Linked DNA regions of Bombyx mori. The protein of the gene in region 1 interacts with the protein of each later gene in a pairwise test. Links are inferred from orthologs where the notes say so. Each region holds a gene or a part of one and is shown on either strand. Other genes may lie near its edges. The genes, in order: phosphorylated adapter RNA export protein and cytoplasmic dynein 2 light intermediate chain 1.

The links.
Region 2: the proteins of phosphorylated adapter RNA export protein (region 1) and cytoplasmic dynein 2 light intermediate chain 1 interact in a two-hybrid assay, tested with the Drosophila melanogaster proteins (2 studies listed by BioGRID). The link is inferred for Bombyx mori from reciprocal best matches to the Drosophila melanogaster genes Phax and CG3769.

The regions. Positions count from the first base shown.
Region 1 is NC_085125.1:10,882,459-10,886,857, reverse strand, and holds the start of phosphorylated adapter RNA export protein, read right to left. Parts: upstream 3,022-4,399; 5' UTR 1,088-3,021; coding exon 1,025-1,087; intron 1-1,024. Other genes in the region: probable beta-hexosaminidase fdl, read left to right, coding at 3,534-3,607, 3,695-4,399.
Region 2 is NC_085118.1:10,604,270-10,608,563, forward strand, and holds the start of cytoplasmic dynein 2 light intermediate chain 1, read right to left. Parts: upstream 2,813-4,294; 5' UTR 2,673-2,812; coding exon 2,568-2,672; exon of another isoform or gene 2,564-2,567; intron 1,972-2,563; coding exon 1,617-1,971; intron 517-1,616; coding exon 266-516; intron 1-265.

The DNA.
Region 1 (4,399 bases):
CCTTCCTGTGATTTGTACTAGAAATAAACTTAAATATGAGAATTATACAATACAATACAAAGAACAGAACTTTTTGTACTTAGGTACAACAAAATGACGACAATATATAGAAAAAATAATTGAAAAGAATTATATTGGTTTATTCTTCAAATTGTGTACTTGACATTCATAAAACAACAACAAATGTTGATTGATCTTTTTCCACATAAAGTTTCTGTAGTAAAATTATGAAGATGAAAATAACATAGTACAGCAAAAAAAAATTTTTTGCCTTTTCAGGCTTTTCAGGCATGCGGTCCACAGTCACTCATGGGCGTTACCAATGCCAGGGATAGAGCCAAGCTGCCCACCGTTGAGCACTTTCCGCGAGCCTCCTCTGAAGAAGAACATGTCTAGCACTTGGGAAACACCGTGGTGGGGAAGCTTATTCCAAGCCAGATGGTACTTTGAGTATTTTCTTCCCCTTTTTTTTTGTTTTGGTCACTTAACACCAGGTGGGTCGTAAGTTCATTTACATTACTACATCTTAATGTTTCTGGGCAGATACAGCAAACAGGTTCAAGTTAAGTGCTGGGTTTTTAGAGCAACTTAAGTTATTGTTAGCTTATTTTATGAAGGTAAGAATTGCGATATTTGTACGATATTAAAAATAAAAAAGGTTTGTTTTTAAAAAAAATTGACCTTTTTTACCATTCTCAAAAGACTATTTTTGACATGACGTGTTTTAGCTGTATCTTTTTAGAGTGGTTTCACAACCAAGAATGTAATACTAAGTGTTCCTAACACATTTTTCTTAAAAACGATAGGTCAAAAATATTACTTTTGGCCAACATCTTTTGTTTATAAGAAACGTTGAATGTTTTCAAAAGCGAAACAATTATCAAATACTGGGTATACCAAAACATGATCTGTTTAATGTTCCAAAACAATATTCGTAGATTACTTTGGGGTTCTTGAAAATATTGTATATTTTACAACGCAGAAAAATACACGAAAATTTGAAGGAATTATTACAAAAGCTCACCTCCCCCTCTTCGCGCTCGCTTGTTGGATCAAAGTCTATTTCCACTTCTGTTGTCGACATCATCTTGATGTGATTGATTTAGCACCAGAATGTCATTTATCATTAAGGTATTATAATGAAACTCATACACAAATACTAGTCGGCTAATTGCAAAATTTTTAGCACTTTTGTCTTTTTGTATTTAACATAGTCATAGATAGCAAACTTTGGTATAGAGTATAGTTTTCAGTAATTTTTTTTTTAAATGGTTTTATGACCTGGTTACTGAGACCTTTAAGTCATGTCTTATTTTTAATTTATATTCTTATTTTTATGAAAAATGATAATATGGAGTGATATGAAATGAAGATGATTAATTTGAGATATTAATCTATTGGGATGAAATGACATGATATGGGATGAAACATAATCTTAGTAAAATGGTGGTCATTTACTGAGATTTTTTCAGTGGACTTTTTGGAGGATCCCGAGAAGTTACGTCCAGAGGCTTTGTTTCATTTTCCCACATTTGTGCACTTTCACAGATATTAAACAGTTAATAAACCACCATTATTACACATTTAAACCCGAAGAAACACTAAATAGACAAAATAAAACAAATCACACAACTTCACTCCTCGCGTTCCCGCCAAAAAGTCCCCTAGTTTTCGGTATTCACTGCAGTGCTGCCAGACAAGATTTATATTTTACAGCGTTTTATTATTTAAATAAAATATACGGTATATTCTAGTTAAATACTGCACTTTTACAGGTAAATAAATATACCTTTATGTTCTGAAAATCACATGTATTAATTAAAAATAAAATAAATCATTCTCTGTCTAACATAAAGCAGTTTCATTTTTATTAATTTTAACTATGAAAGCCTTATAGCTTGGTTTAAAATTTAAGCAACCGGTAAGGGCGTGTTAAAAATTTCACTTGATTGTTTATTTAAGCAACCGATTCATTTTCTTTCTTTTGATGCCATTTCTTGCGCTAACCTTTCGTCATGTTCTACGTTTGAATTTCATAGTCTTGAGATGCTGAACATGAAGTTTGCTAAGTTCATAAAATCCTCATCCTCGAGATTTCGGACGTTTGCTAAAACCAATGCAACTATCGGGGATCAGTTCAGTACTTCGTTGTATCTACTGGATCGGAATCGAGATCCACTGAGATGATTCGGCGAGAAACTCAGTGCCTTGTGTCTGCGGGTCAATGCCCCGATGATGTGGGCCCAAAATATTATTTTTTACGGCGCAGAATTTTGTTTTGATTTTCTTTGCTATCTCGGAATCTGGAAACATTTTTGGCAAAAAGTCAACTAGAAGATCTATAGTTTTGAGATATTCTATGCTCAGTAATACAACCTCATCATCTTAGGTCTTACAGCCCAGGGTGGGACTTAGCCTGGTCCAGTATGTCTCTGCAGACTGCTCTGTTCAGGGCTTTCTCCTTCCAGTTCCTGACACCGATAACTTTGAGGTCGCACTCCACGCCATCCAACCATCGGAGTTTGGGTATGCCACGACTTCTGCGGCCCTCTGATTTGCCATAGAGCAGTTGTCTTGGCATTCTGGTATTCTCCATTCGAACCACATGTCCTGCCCATCGTAGGCGTTCAATTTTTATAGTTGTTATGATATTAGGATCCTTGTAAATATCACACAACTCGTGGTTATAGCGCATCCTCCATATCTCGTTTTCCTAGTAATACAACTTGCTAGCTTTATTTTCGCGGTTTAAGGCATTGATACTAAAGACGTTGACGACATTTAAAATACGCTTGCCGTAGAAGTTTTAAAAATATCTTAGTTCTTGGATTATTGATGAACTTAGGCTTTTCAATGCCCTCATGTCGGCATTCATCGATGTATTGCACAATAGGCACGATAGGGATATCGTGAATCACGTCGCAACCATTCTAAAATATTCATACCGTAACAACTAATCCTGGAATTGTTGTTTGTAATTTATTTTGTTTTAGAAGTAGAGGGTTGTATCTCACTTTGATGAACAGATATTTTTATTTACTCAACTTGTTTTTCATACATTGCATTTTTAAAAACGTAGTAGAAAGTAAAATCAAAAAAATTATAGTGAATCTTCTGTAATTACAGTGCATATGGCAAAACTCAGTCGCTGTCTTAGACATAGACTTGATTTGATTTTATGAATTAGCAGACCAAAGAGATTATTGTCTACACGGGCAATTTGCTTTAAAAAAAGGCTAAACTTATGGCTATTGTATGAAAATGAAATAAAATAATTTGAATTTATTTAATTTATATGGAATTAAATTGAATGAATTAAATAACGGAAAATAATATAAATTAAATAATATTTATCTTTAAAATTTACAGAAAAAAAAAAAATTTGATTTACAAGGTTGCACGTTGTTTGACTTTTGGAATTTGATGTTGCTATTCTTTATATTGGCACTGCACAACAATACAATTTATACCACAATGTTTATTAAATTATGTTAAATATTAAATAATGTTTCCAGGAAGGAATATTTTGTGGAATGATACTTGTATCGAGATACTATCTAGTACTTGGATTGCAAATTCTTGTCACATTTTCCAATTGTAGTTTCAGGTTAGTTTAAAATATTTAAATCCAATAGTTATTTCATTAATATTAAAAGAAACTTGGCTACATATTAAAAAATAATGTATGTTTAAGCAGGAGCAAAAATCCTTTATGGACTTGGGAATGTATTAATGAAAAATGTGTACCATCTCGTCCCGATCCCACGAATAAATTACAATCTCTGGAAACATGTAACATGTTGTGTGCAGGAGGTCAAATTTGGCCTCAACCAAGGGGAGCGATCAGCCTTTCCACAACCGCTGTGCCAGTACACGCTGACTCTTTCAGATTGAAAATATTATTAACTCCATCCCGTACGGTTCAAGAATATCTACAAGAGTCCTTTGAATTATTTCGGGAAGATGTTAAAAGACTCGAACAGTCAGCATTTGGTTTCGAAGAGCGGCGAAGTGTACTCGTCCGGATTGCCATAAATGGTAGTGAAGATCCACGAATGCGTATAGATACTGAAGAAAACTACAAACTTGTAATTCGCCCTAATTCCGATGACGGTTTGATGCTCGTAGATATATCTGCATCTACGTTCTGTGGTGCACGTCATGGCTTAGAAACTTTAATACAATTAATATGGTTTGATCCTTACGTCGCATCACTGTTTATGCTAGAAGCTGCATCAGTTGACGATTCGCCTCGATTCAAATACCGGGGGCTGTTATTAGACACAGCGCGTAATTATTTTCCGGTTCGTGATCTCATGCGAACTATTGATGGTATGGCCATTTCTAAGCTTAACACCTTTCACTGGCATGTAACCGATACCCAAGCATTCCCTTTACA
Region 2 (4,294 bases), on another chromosome or scaffold:
GAACATTTTCAGGGTTCCGTAGTTTTTATACACTTTTGCTCTATTCTAATTGTTAAGTACATTTAGGTACTCGTAAAAAATCTGTATTCAAACCCAATGTTTTGTTAACAAAGCTTTTTGAATTATGCCTTTCGCTCATTTAAACTCGTCTTTTTTTTCCACATGTTGGCTGGACGAGTTCACGGCCCACCTGGTATTAAATGGTTACCGGAGCCCATAAACATCTATAACGCAAAGTACTCTAAATATGAAATTATTGACTAACCTCATCGAAAGTCGATCTTGCCACCCCAATATTTTCCCAGGTATCTGCCCCTTTATTTATAAAAAGTGGTTTTGTAGGATTTGTTTGTTTGTCTTTGATAGAAATCCCATTCTCAAAACCAATACTGTTAAAAATGTCTTTAGCTCGTTTAACTAACATCGATTCTTTGGATGAATAAAACATTAAATGCGCGTCATTAAGTAGTGCCACACTTCTAAGAGTACTGCAGACAATCTTTTTAGCTTCTGTATCTAAAAACATAATTATTTTTAAAAATTCAGTCTTTTTTGTGGCTTGGTATATTCCAGCTGTTTTCGAAGCCAAAAAAGTGTATAATGTTCTTGATTCCTTAGCTAGAAACAATATTAAACTCTTTTGAGACTGACTACCCAAATCCAAGTGGGTGACTGCAATGGCATTGTAATGTCTATAGGATCCGGTAACTATTTAACATCGTGCGTGCCGTTTAGCTGTTCGTATAGCCACTGAATGCTGTAACGCAAAAATAATGTTCAAAAGTTAATTAGTGAAATAGTAACGTTTCTTAAATAATTATGGTCAAATAATATACACGGGACATACAGAATGGTTTATGACATCACAAACATAACTTAATGGCATGCAAGAGCGATAGCGATATATTCCCACTAATCTTCTTTATAGGTACCTATAGGTATCGATCCTTTTGCGTGTTATCAAAACTTTGTCCAGTAGAAGTGAAGTATTATTTTAAGGAAAAAAGGTTTCTACAATATTAAAGAAATTTATTTAAATTAGTGGACTGTCCCAGGAAACAAGACCCAGTTTATTGTAGTATAATGACATTAACCTTGACTTGAGGCGAAATTATGTCGTTGAACTATAAAGTTCACTATGAAGTCGTTGTAGCCTAAAGGATAAGCCGGTGCATTTGTATCTTGCAATGCACCGAATTCCGCGGCAGGTACCAATTTTTCTAATGAAATACATACATAACATATGTTCACGATTGACTTCCGCGGTGAGGGAATAACATCGTGTGATAAAAATCTAACCCGCAAAATTATAATTTGCGTAATTACTGGTGGTAGGACGTCTTGTGAGTCCGCGCGGGTAGGTACCACCACCTATTGCCACCACCTGCCTATTTCTGCCGTGAAGCAGTAATGCGTTTCGATTTGAAGGGTGGGGCAGCCGTTGTACTATAAAAACTGACACCTTAGAAATAATATCTAAAGGGAGGTGACGGAATTTATATTGTAAATGTCTATAGACTCCCGGTAACCACTTAACACGAGGAGGTCCGTGAGCTCATCCACCAATTAAAAAAATATTTAAAAAAATGGTTAATATTAGAATAAAGTGCACTAACCAAAATTCTTAAACAGGTCATATTTTCCACACAAAATAATCAAATTTGTTACACAGTTATCGGATATAGATTGTGTTTCATTAATTGCATGAAGACATATTTCGATGGTTTGCAATAAGGTCTTCGGTTTACTCAGATCAACCATTATACAATAATAGTAATTCTTCGTTTTAGGCAGCACAGGCAAAACATTCTTTAACATGTCTAATTTTCCACCGTATTCCCAAATATGACACACGTTTTTATCAATTGCTTGCTTAAGATTTGTTTTTCTTCCAAATGAATATTCTAACACAAGAGTGTTCCGTGGAGTTTCTAATTTTTCCAAAAACATATGAAGCAGTGTTGATTTACCCTAGAATAGTATTGTAAACGTACACTATTTACCTAAGGTTTTTTTATTGCCCATGTAGGCAGACGAGCATACGGCCCGCCTGATGGTTCGTGGTTACCGTCGCTCATGGACGTCAGCAATGCCAGGGGCAGAGCCAAGCCGCTGCCCCTACCGTTTAATACTCTCCATAAGCCTCGTTTGAAGAAAGTATTTTGTAATATCAGTAGTGTATTTAGTAGTGTATAGTAGTATTTTGTAATATCATTTTGTAATCTCCTTTCTATCCTAAATAAAAGCATATTCTTAGCTTATGAAAAAATCATTAATTTATTGATATTCATTTCTAAACGTGTGAATGTTCAACATTTATAGTGTTTACTTAATGTAACTACAAACAAATTTTTTAAGGCAGTTCGATGTACATAATATCATGTAATTAATATAGTATATATTAAATAAAGATCAATACATGTGTGATTGACTCTAAACTTGGTGCCTTGGAGTTGTTACTTTAAGGAAGGTTCTGTTATTACGTACGGTAACGCTATCGATAAATAGCGGGCGAGAGAAAATAAGACGCACCAAAAATAAAATTTCATACTATTCAGCTTACCCACCACGTTTTTACTGCCTGCTAAGAAAATAGTCCGAGAATTGATTTCGTCTAATTGCTGCTCCTGTGTGTCTATAATTTGTGCTGCTCTCTCCGGTATAGACAACATTTTATAACGAATTTATTTAAAATATATTTGATTTCCTATTTGTTGCTTTACTTCTAAAGATATCACGGTACACCCAATTATTTATATTGATTGCTTGTTGAAAATATATTTGTTGTTATGTTGTTGCTAAGCAATGAGACTCGAGTACAATTAAGTGTATAATCTATGCTCGAGTATAAAGGTTTTAAATCAATAAAATGGCAGACAGTCTCACGGCCCAACTGGTGTTAAGTGGTTACCATAGAGCCCATAGACATCAACAACCTAAACGCTGTATCAGGTACAACGGCTGCTCCACCCTTAAGGGCCTTATCCATAGTAGCGGTTTGCGAGCGACTGCGGGGCGGAGCGGATGCGCCGTGAACCCGCCGCGACGGCACATCGAGAACGTCGCGGACGCGTGGGGGATACGCAAAATTTTGTAGCGAATTGACGACGTACAATACACTCAGTAATAAAATGGATTCCTTTTTTTTTTTTCTACTTAAGCTGATAAGCCTTGAGAGGCTATTTCAGCGTAACCGTGGCTAGTAGGTGAGCTCACGGGGCTTAAACCTGACGACGACGACGATGCTAACACGAACCCTAGCAAGAGCCGTGCTTCGCAGAATCTACCACCGGATCGGAAACGCGACCCACTGAGAAGATCCGGCGAGAAACTCAGTGGTCTGTATCTGAGAGTTAATTTACTCGTCGAGCCCTTCGTCGCAAGCGACGGGTTCGACGAGAACGGTGACCGGTGCTTGAAGTACCTAAAAGCACCGTTAGTGGATCGGGAGGATCCGAGATGACGTGTTTTGGGCGACGTCGACTGCTTTCCATTCTGTCCGCAGGATCGGGAATGTAGTTACCGGCGGCCACGATGAGAGGGTTCTCGTGTCGTGCCGCTTTATCGAAGTGGCGCATCGACGCCGACTGAAGATACTTACTGATGGACTCTAAGTCCAGGTCGTCATGGAGGTCGACGTTCCTGACGAACCACGGGGCTCCGACGGCTATCGTGTAAAAACGGGATTGAATAATTTGGAAAGATTTTAAGTGAGTGCGGGCCGCGTGAGCGAACACTACACTTGCATAGGTCATGACGGGGCGTATGCAAGTTTTGTAGAGTGTCACCTTATTTCTAAGGGACATTTTACTTCGCCTGCATATCATCGGGTAGAGACGTCCTAGAATGAAGGCGGCACGGTCGCGTACCGTCTTGATGTGAGGGCGGAATGTCATCCTACTGTCGAGGGTGACGCCTAAATATTTGACCTTCGGGGCCCACGGTATGGGCTGGTCGAACATCGTGATTGGGCGAATGGCGGAGGTGTCGACGCGCCTAGTCGGGAGAGGGATGCTCAGCGTGGTGTTCGGAGGGCGACACCTTTTGAAGAGCACCGCTGTGGTTTTTGTGGGGTTGATGTCGATGCGCCACTTCCGGAACCACTGTCCCATGGTGGTAGCTGCGGTCTGAAGTCGTCGATGAAACAACGCCTTCTTCCTACACGAGTAGTAGATGGCGGTGTCATCGGCGAAGAGTGCCAGATACAAACTGAATAGTAACGGGGAGAGGGCGAAGCCTTGCGGGACTCCGGCTGTGACGTGACGGGGACGGGAACGCGTTCCCTCGACTCGAT